Oryctolagus cuniculus: one gene and its partner. The protein of the gene in region 2 interacts with the protein of the main gene of each other region in a biochemical or structural test. Links are inferred from orthologs where the notes say so. Each region holds a gene or a part of one and is shown on either strand. Other genes may lie near its edges.

Region 1 (4,506 bases), on a different chromosome or scaffold from region 2:
ACTGGAGTGGTGGAGGGGGACAGGGATGTGTTGGAGTATGGAAAATGAGCTAACATTTTACATATTGAAATTACAAAGCCAACTTTCAAAGACGGCCCCTCCCAATGACTAGCTTAAGTGGAACTGACCATTTTTACTTACTTATTCTTACTTCTTTAAACTTCTACAGCTTTGAAAGGGAAAATCTCACTGACATTTTGTCATCTTTCTCATCACCACTCTACTAAATAACAACACAAGGTTTCCCAGGCATCTCCTCAGCCAGGGTGGGCCTCACTAGGAGGTTCAAGATTTCAGATTTGTATTCATTCAACTTCCCTCTCCAAGCACACACAACCTGGGGCATCTTTTCATCTAGGAAATGGGAACAGCAATAGACACACCCCCCAAAAAAATGCCAAGAGCATTAAATGAAGTAACAGATAGAAAGCATGCCACATGGTAGGCACTCCCAACAGTAGTTGCGGGCTTTTTGTTCCTTAACTGACCATTTTCAGACCAGAAAACTTAAACACTGCTGGGAATAAGCTTTCAGTGTTGAATAAGCTTGACAACTGCCCCAAGCTCCACAGGGGTGGAAAGCAATCCCCAAATAGCTACTGCATGGAGTCACACAGTAAATAACAGTGATTAGTTATGTGCTAAGATTACTGTCATCTTGGTACTTCTTCAAGAACTTGGTATCATAAGGCAAGAGTAATGCAGCTGACTCTAAATGTTCACAGAAACCAATAATGGTTGCAGTAACCTGAATTTTTTTTAAATATATCAGTTGATGCTGAAATTTAAAAAAAGCTCAAAACTGGCCAGCGCCACGGCTCACTTGGCTAATCCTCCGCCTGTGGCACCTGAACCCCGGGTTCTAGTCCTGGATGGAGCACCGGATTCTGTCCTGGTTGCTCCTCTTCCAGTCCAGCTCTCTGCTGTGGCCCGGGAAGGCAGTGGAGGATGGCCCAAGTGCTTGGGCCCTGCACCCCATGGGAGACCAGGAGAAGCACCTGGCTCCTGGCTTCAGATTGGCGCAGTGCGCCATTTGGGGGTGAACCAACGGAAGGAAGACCTTTCTCTGTCTCTCTCTCTCACTGTCTAAGATCTGCCTGTCAAAACAAAACAAAAAAAGCTCCAAACCTGGAATTCAGTTTTCAGTTGTACAGTGAAGCATGGGGCTCCTGGGGATACCAGATGTGACATATTTAATTACATCACTGACCATTTAAATTCAGTGTTCTACTTCCAATCCTAAGAATAGCTCACTCTTTTAGAAATAGACCAAAAAAAAAGTGTATTTGGTAACCAGATAAAGAATCCAGAATAATTTGTTCTACTTTCTTATTGTTCATTTTAAGAAAAAAGGAAGAGACAAACCCCCAATCTGTTTTGATTATTGACAACAGTTGTATACAACAGTGTTGTGTACACACTGTCAATCTGTATACAGTGCCAATGTGCACCTGGTGCGGTCCTCGATAATGACAAATCTCACTCTCTGGTGGTTTGACATGCCTTTTTTTGTTTCGATTTTAGGAATTTTCTGTGTAAATATTTATGTTTGCACTCATAGGTTGAGAAAAACCTAGCCTTCAAGTGGACTGCTCATGTATAAATGATTACTAAAAAGAAAACACTTGCAAAAATCTGTTTAGCCTGAGGTTTCAAAAGCTACAAATGTAGCAAGTGCGAAGTGTGATGGCAAGGTCAGATCAAGTAGCTCTGCTTTGGGAGCGATATGACAATGTTAAATCAACTGAGGCTCTTTCTTCCTATCAAAATTTACTCAATGGATAATCGACCAAAGGGAAACATGTACTCTCTCCTCCCGGTCATCTGGATTTTTCTTACTTCTTAAATTAATAGTAATGGTTCAACATTCGAAAGGTCAGAAAGGAACAAGGGGGCAGGGTGGAAAGTTACTGCAAGTTTCCTTTACTGGATTTTTTGCACTTGGTAAACCAACCAAGCTGCTCCGAAATCTTTAACAAATCGATTTTTCTACGACTAGCTCAAAAGTCACTCAATGCCACCGCACAGAAATCAACAAGGAACTGTCAAATCCATCACACAAAAAGTGCGATTTGTCACAGCCTTAATTAGGGTTGACAGAGGAAACGCTCGCCCCACTCACGCCTATTCTCCAGTTCTAGCTTCCCTCCCTCATTGCCGGAGGTGGGGTTGGAGACCCCACGTGGGGATCAAGACCTTGGGGCCCGGTGTGGCCACATGCAAAACGGGGTTGCAACAGGTTTCCAAGGAGATGGTAGGGGCCGGGAAGCCAATTTGTTTCCATCCACACAGATTAAGGACTGAACGAATCGTCGGTCATCAGCAACCGGATCTTGTGGAACTCTGAGCAAATGAATAAATAGCTCGGGATTTCAGAAGCGCCCCCGCCACGCAGCCGCCGACACTGCGTGGAACCCACCAGGCATCCCAACCGCACCTCGTTTTGTCCTGGGAATCGGACCCCGGGGGCCCAAGCCCGGCTACCGTCCCCCGGCGCCGCGGGCCCACCTTCTCCCCGCTGCGGGCCCGGACCCCGTCCTGCAGCGCGAGGAGGCCGAGTCTCAGGGTGATCCAAGCCTGCGTGCGGAGGCGGCTGCTCCGCAGCTCCCCGGATCTGCCCTCATCCCTGCCACCAGGGCACTGATGGAGCCTGGGCTCGGTACCCGGCCAGCCACCAACTCTGCCAGCCCCTTCCCCAAGCCTCGGACCCGTCGCAAGCCCCGCCTTCCTCCCTAAGCCCAGGCCTCCCTTCTGGGCCCACCCTCGGGGCTTCCCGCCGCCCCTCAAAGCGAATCCAGAACCCACACTGCAGGCTGAGCGCCTTCCCATCTCCTCCTCGGCTTTAAGCGCGGGGCTCCGCCCTGGGCCTGGAGCGGGGAGGGGGGTGATCGGCCGGGTGCAGAGGGGCCCGGGTCCCCACACTCACCATCCTCCCGCCGAATCCCTCCTCCTCCTCCTCCTCCTCCTCCTCCTCCTCCTCCTGCAGCCTCCCCCGTTACCAGGGGCAACTGCCGCGGCGCCGCCCCCGACGTCCCTCGCACGCACAGCGGAGGAGCAAAGCCGCCGTATTGGGCGGGGTCCGGCTTCGCTTTCTCCAAAGTGCGCAAGCGCGCCGAGGTGCCCGCCCCTGCGCGGGCGGGGTCGCTGCAGAGGGGGCTGGAGACCCAGGGAACGGCGAAAACTCGCCCACGTGGCTGGCGGGAGCCTCCCGGTGCCTGATTGGCCAGGAGGAGGGGCGTGGGCGGGCGAGAAGGCGGTCCCTTGGCCCTGGCAGGCGGAGCACCCTGGCCCGGCTTGCAGCGGCTGGCTACATCTGGCGGCGGCTGTGTCAGGCATCCCTCTTGCGGCCAGGTAAAGGGTCTTGAGCGGAGGCTGCCCAGCGGTTTGCAGTCGCCACGTCCCGGGAGGGCTGGGAGTTCTGTCCTGACTCCGCCTGCGCTGGGCTGGGGTGGGGGCTAGACTTCTACCTGCAGAAGCCACGTGGTTCAAGGAGTGGCCTAGAGCTGCTCGCAGATGCCACTGCTCGGATTCTAGCTGCCATGGAGCGCCGGGCAGAAGGGTGGGGGTTAGGGGCTGTGCAGTCGTCTCCACAGGGAGTCCCTGCGGGTGAAGGTTCCTGGTCGGAGGGCCGGGGGCAGCCTCCTGACCGCTCTAAACCCCGAGCTGGGACCTGGAGGCAAAAACGGGCCTGCACTTCCCTTCAGGGGGCAGAGAGACGGGTTCTGGGTGAGCTGGGAAGCGCCGCCCCCACCCCGTCCGTGTAAGTCTCAGCACGTGCATTAGTGGTAGGCCCGCATCTCGGCACACTGCGGTGGACAGTCTGCCCTCATGGAAATGTCGCCTTTCCTAGAGAACTGCTTTTCACCGCACAACTCCAGAAATTGATTGTTGCAGATGGCGAGTTTGGACTTGGACCGACTTGGACACACTTGTTTACTTTGCTCCTAAACACAGTTGTTCAGGTGGGAGGGACACATCACAGATGGAAACCAAGAGCTTTTGGAGAGCTGATAAAGTCTGGGGGCAAATGATACATCTGGAAGCTTGCTAATGTGCGTGTGTGTGCCTGTGACCTCAGCGGTTTCTAGTGAGGGTAATGTGAATTATGAATATTATCTGTCAGATGCATAGAGCATTGCCTGCCGCAAAGGAAGCACTATCTAAGGGCTTACTTTGCTCTTTTTTAAGAGAAAGAACACCTAACCATTGGTTCACTCCCAGAATGCGCAAGATGGCCCTGGGCTGATTGGAAGCCCAGAGCCAGGAACTCAATACAGGATTCCCACCTGGGAGCTAGCTGGAGTCGAAAGCCAGGGGCTATGGTGCATTGGGTTAAAGCCCCAGCTTGCAGTGCCGGCATCCCATATGGGTGCCGGTTCAAGTCCCGGCTGCTCCAATTCCAACCCAGCTCTCTGCTGTGGCCTGGGAAAGCAGTAGAAGATGGCCCAAGATCTTGGGCCCCTTCATCTGTGTGGGAGACCCAGAGGAAGCTCCTGGCTTTGGATC
Region 2 (4,564 bases):
TAATTGTCTGATGTAGCCTTAAAATTGTACATGCTATACTCTATGACCACATTACTGAAGCCTAATCTTTTAAAACAAACCATTTCTGTGAATACACTTTCAGCATATCTCACTTATGTTCTCTGGGCTGTATTTGTATCTGATTTCTTCTAAGGTATAAAGTCTTCTAGGAACAAGCAAGACTATGCACAATAGAAGTATAATTGGATTAATATGAAACATTTGTACACTTGCTCAAATAGACCCCATGGGAGATAAGGAACTAGGAAAAAAGACTTTGAGATCATATAAAACTTAACAAGCTATAATAAATGAGGCATCTTTAAGAGAATTCCTAGTAATTCCAAAAGGAAAAAAAGGTCCAAAAAGAACAGGCAATGTTGGGATACAGAGTATCTTCATTGTTTCAAAAATGTAAATCGACTTGTTTTCAGAATACAAGGTTCATTTAGTTAGAAAATTTTTTTTTTTTTTTTTTTTTTATTTTTTTATTTTTTTTTTTTTTTTTTTTTTGACAGGCAGAGTGGACAGTGAGAGAGAGAGACAGAGAGAAAGGTCTTCCTTTGCCGTTGGTTCACCCTCCAATGGCCGCCGCTGCAGCCGGCGCACCGCGCTGATCCTGGCAGGAGCCAGGAGCCAGGTGCTTTTCCTGGTCTCCCATGGGGTGCAGGGCCCAAGCACCTGGGCCATCCTCCACTGCACTCCCTGGCCATAGCAGAGAGCTGGCCTGGAAGAGGGGCAACCGGGACAGAATCCGGCGCCCCAACCGGGACTAGAACCCGGTGTGCCGGCGCCGCAAGGTGGAGGATTAGCCTATTGAGCCACGGCGCCGGCTCAGTTAGAAAATTTTTGACAGTTGAGTTGATCAAGATTTTAACTTCTATTATACACACACTCAAAAGCATGAGCTTATTTTACATATCCATTTCTTGTATCTCTGCAACAACAGTACCTAGCAGTAGTCTCACAAAAATGTTCCCTACAAGTTCAAAACAGCATCTACAACTCAAAGTTTTCTACAGGTTCATTTTGGGGTGGGGGTGGGGAATGCTTAGATGCTAGAGTTTGCTGTTCTTTTCTTTAATGCATTTACTTAGCTAAAGAGCAAAAGAAGGGAAAAAAAATCACAGAACACACCTACTTACCTTAAAGAGGGATTAACAAGGGAGCCCAACTAACCTGAACCTTATGTTAATACAAGTTAACTGTAAGGCAATTTACTAGGAAACGATGAGTCAACCAAGGCAACCAAGACTACTACTATAAAAAAAAATAAAAGCACTTTAGTTTTAGCTTATGACTTGAAAACAAAAAGCTAAAATAAAAATAAAACACAGCTTTCTGTCAGATAGTTCAAGCTTAAAGAGCACTGTTAGAAATCCTAAGGCTGAGGGAAATGAATTTTTTAAAAACCACCCACCAAACAACTTGAAAACATGGGTGCAATCTTCTTGTGAAGTCCAACAGACATCACAGTACTTTTGTTTCCTGTATAAGGCTCATTCAGTTAGAAAAGTTTCGAGAGTTGAGTTGATTGAGATTTTAACTTGTGTTATACACATACGCAAAAGCATGAGCTTATTTTTGCTATCAATATCATCAAATGCTGCTACCCAGTAAGGATAACAGGTGACACAAGTGGGGTCTGAGAACAGGAAGACAGGGCTAACAAGTCTGGAAAGAAAAAGAAAAAAAAAAAAGCATCTACACTCCTAAATCTGACATCTTCTGGAGAACCGAGTTTACACGAATCACTACTGCTGGGGATTGCACCTCAACACAAAAAGTCTATGATATCAAAATATTAATAAGACACTTACTATAAAGCAGTCTGGGGGTAAAGATCTGGTGCTAAGCTAAACTGTTCCTAACGTTTATTAAAATAAATTTCCCACTTGGAAAGAGAAAGGCAATGAAGTCTATCAAAGCATTTTACTAAGCACAAATGGAGAACTATGTAGAAAGAGGAAGCATTATGAAATGTATGACTAAGTGTGTTTTGTGGAAGACCAGTGGACGTTTTGAAAACTTTTTTGTTTTCTGGCTCTATGAGTATACAAAAGTCAAAATTAAAGCGTTTTCCACCTTACACACATTCCAAGGCTCACTCCATTTTCATCATTGCTTCCGGGTAACTAGACGAGGAGGAAGAGCAACGCTGGACTTTAAACTTAGTAATTGAGAAAATTCACCCGGCCAATCTGTCATGAGGCACCAGAGATTTACCGGGGAAAGCAGACAAGAGAAAACAGCCACAGAACACAAGCCGCGAAAGAGATGAGTATCAGCCCCATGTGTAACTCGACCACTGGGCAAAAGCCCGCTCGGCGCGGCCGCTGGGATAAGGTGATTTGAGATTCAGGGCATTCTGGGCTTCTTCCCTCCCTGGAGTCCATCCTCAGACGGGAAGTCAGGCCCGTCAGGGTGTGGAGCTGAGGCATGCCCCAGGGGTCCATCGAGTTGGACTAGGAACTCGGAAGCCCCTTCCAGCGCCTGGCACCCTACTTCACGCCCACCTCCCACCCCACCCCCAAGTGGTGCCGATTTCAGCTGCCGGCTATCGGGAGAGAGCGGGCGGCAGGCAGCAGTTGGGTCGGCCCCCCCGAGCGCTGCGGAGTCGTAAGGGACCCCCGCCGAGCGGCTGCAAGACTTGCGTTACCTTCTCACGCTGGTCCCAGCTGTACTGCTTTGGCTGCTCCTCCTCGCTCTCGGGCCGCGACTCCTTCTCAGTCTTCCGCCTCTTGGAGAAGAAGCAGCCCATGGTCCCGTCCTGTGGACCTAGCTGGCCGGCTCACTTAGGAACTTCTTGAGGTGTGCGGTGAACCCTGGCGTCCCGGACCCCGCAGCTCGTTGGACACCGCCCAGCGGTCCGCAGCCTCACTTCGCCCGCCAGGCCCAGCACCCCTTCTCTTTTTCCCCTCGGTCTCCCGGACGACCCAACCCAACCAATAGCCACTGAGCGCCCGTTGAACCAATCAGAGTCCCGCTTGCGGCTCTCCGCGGCCTATGAAGAGAGGCCGACGTACTCACACACCAATCCACGCCCGGGCTCTTTCGTCAGCTCCCGGCGGCGGGGCTGGCCCTCTCTGGCGCACGTACAGATGGCCCCACCCCCAGCTCAACCTCGTCCCGCCCCCCTCGTCCCCCTCGCCTCTGCCCCGCCCCGCCCCGGGATTCGGTGGGGTTCTGTCTGTGGGGAGGCTGAGCTCCCTATCCGGGTCTTTTTGCCCCTAGTTCTGTTTCCAAGCTCTAGACCCGGGCAGGATGCTTAAGTTAAACCATAGACTTGTTTTATGATGCAAGTTATAAGGGAACAAGAATTCTTGCTGGCCTGAAATTCGTGTCCTCTTCTGCTCATTCCTCTTCTCATCACAGTCCTTACATCCCCTGGCCAGAGCTGCCCCCTTAGGAGTCTTCTCCCAGAACCCCCTCCACCCTCTTCTGTGCTTTCTTGAGACATCCAGGCAGCGCTCTAAAAGTGCAGAGATACTTAGTAAAATAATTAAGTGTGGTCTCCCTATTAGAACGGTGAATTTCTTGAGACTGAAAGGCATGTCTTAAGGACATACACCTTCGAACCCTCTAGCCTGGCCGAAGTCCATGCTAAGTGTTCCATAAAACAGTTGTCAAATGACTCCATGACTGAATGCTGTGCACAATAAGGAAAGAAGCATTTATAACTTTTCCCCTATCCATTCTCAAAAAAGTGATCAAAGGAGGGGGAGGGGAGCATGTGACATGGTAAAGATTCTTTTCAAGGAGTTTATAGCCTACTTGTGGACATTAGCATTGCTATACAATCAGATCCGTTCTAAGCAGATGGTATAGGAGTTGTCCAAAAGTACTTTACAAATATGAGTATTGACATCAAATATTTACATCTGTTATACTTGGCTTGAATTTCACTACAATGCACACATATTGCTTATGTAACAGAAATTGTAAATTGCTTTTTCTGAGGTATAGTATTTTTACATCTTGCTAGGACATCAAATGCAGATCAGTTCAGATTCAAATTTGATTATCGTGGAGCCTGCATCGTGGTGTAGTAGGCTAAGCCTCCACCTGCAGCGCCAGCATCTCATAAAGGCTCAGGTTCATATCCTGGCTGCTTCTCTTCTGATCCAGCTCTCTGCTATGGCCTGGGAAAGCAGTAGAAGATGGCCCAAGTCCTTGGGCCCCTGCACCTGCATGGGAGACCCGGAAGAAGCTCCTGGCTCCTGGCTTCAGATTGGCACAGCTCTGGCTGTTGCAGCCAACTGGGGAGTGGACCAGCAGATGGAAGGCCTCTCTCTGTCTCTCCCTCTATCTGTAACTGCACCTCTTCAAATAAATAAAAACAGTCTGATTATCTTTTTACTTTCTCAGTTACTCACATCTAGTGTGTATCCTAAATGAGCCTCTGACTTAAGCATTAAGAATGTTCCCCTTTTCACTTCCTGTCCTTTATTGCACAGTTAGAAGAAAAGTACATGTGGTTGTATTAGAAATTACTGTAAATTTAAGTTCCAGTTCTTAGGCAATAAGGTCTTTGCCAGTGCTTGGTGCTCCTTCTTTTTAAAAT

Evidence for each region.
Region 1: the proteins of RP2 (region 2) and ARL3 form a complex in vitro, tested with the Homo sapiens proteins (2 studies listed by BioGRID). The link is inferred for Oryctolagus cuniculus from reciprocal best matches to the Homo sapiens genes RP2 and ARL3.

Annotation. Positions count from the first base shown.
Region 1 is NC_091446.1:27,272,230-27,276,735, reverse strand, and holds the start of ARL3 (ADP-ribosylation factor-like protein 3), read right to left. Parts: upstream 2,939-4,506; 5' UTR 2,930-2,938; coding exon of another isoform or gene 2,927-2,929; 5' UTR 2,830-2,926; coding exon 2,806-2,829; intron 1-2,805. UniProt on the Homo sapiens protein: Small GTP-binding protein which cycles between an inactive GDP-bound and an active GTP-bound form, and the rate of cycling is regulated by guanine nucleotide exchange factors (GEF) and GTPase-activating proteins (GAP).
Region 2 is NC_091453.1:32,375,607-32,380,170, reverse strand, and holds the start of RP2 (protein XRP2), read right to left. Parts: upstream 2,948-4,564; 5' UTR 2,762-2,947; coding exon 2,660-2,761; intron 1-2,659. UniProt on the Homo sapiens protein: Acts as a GTPase-activating protein (GAP) involved in trafficking between the Golgi and the ciliary membrane.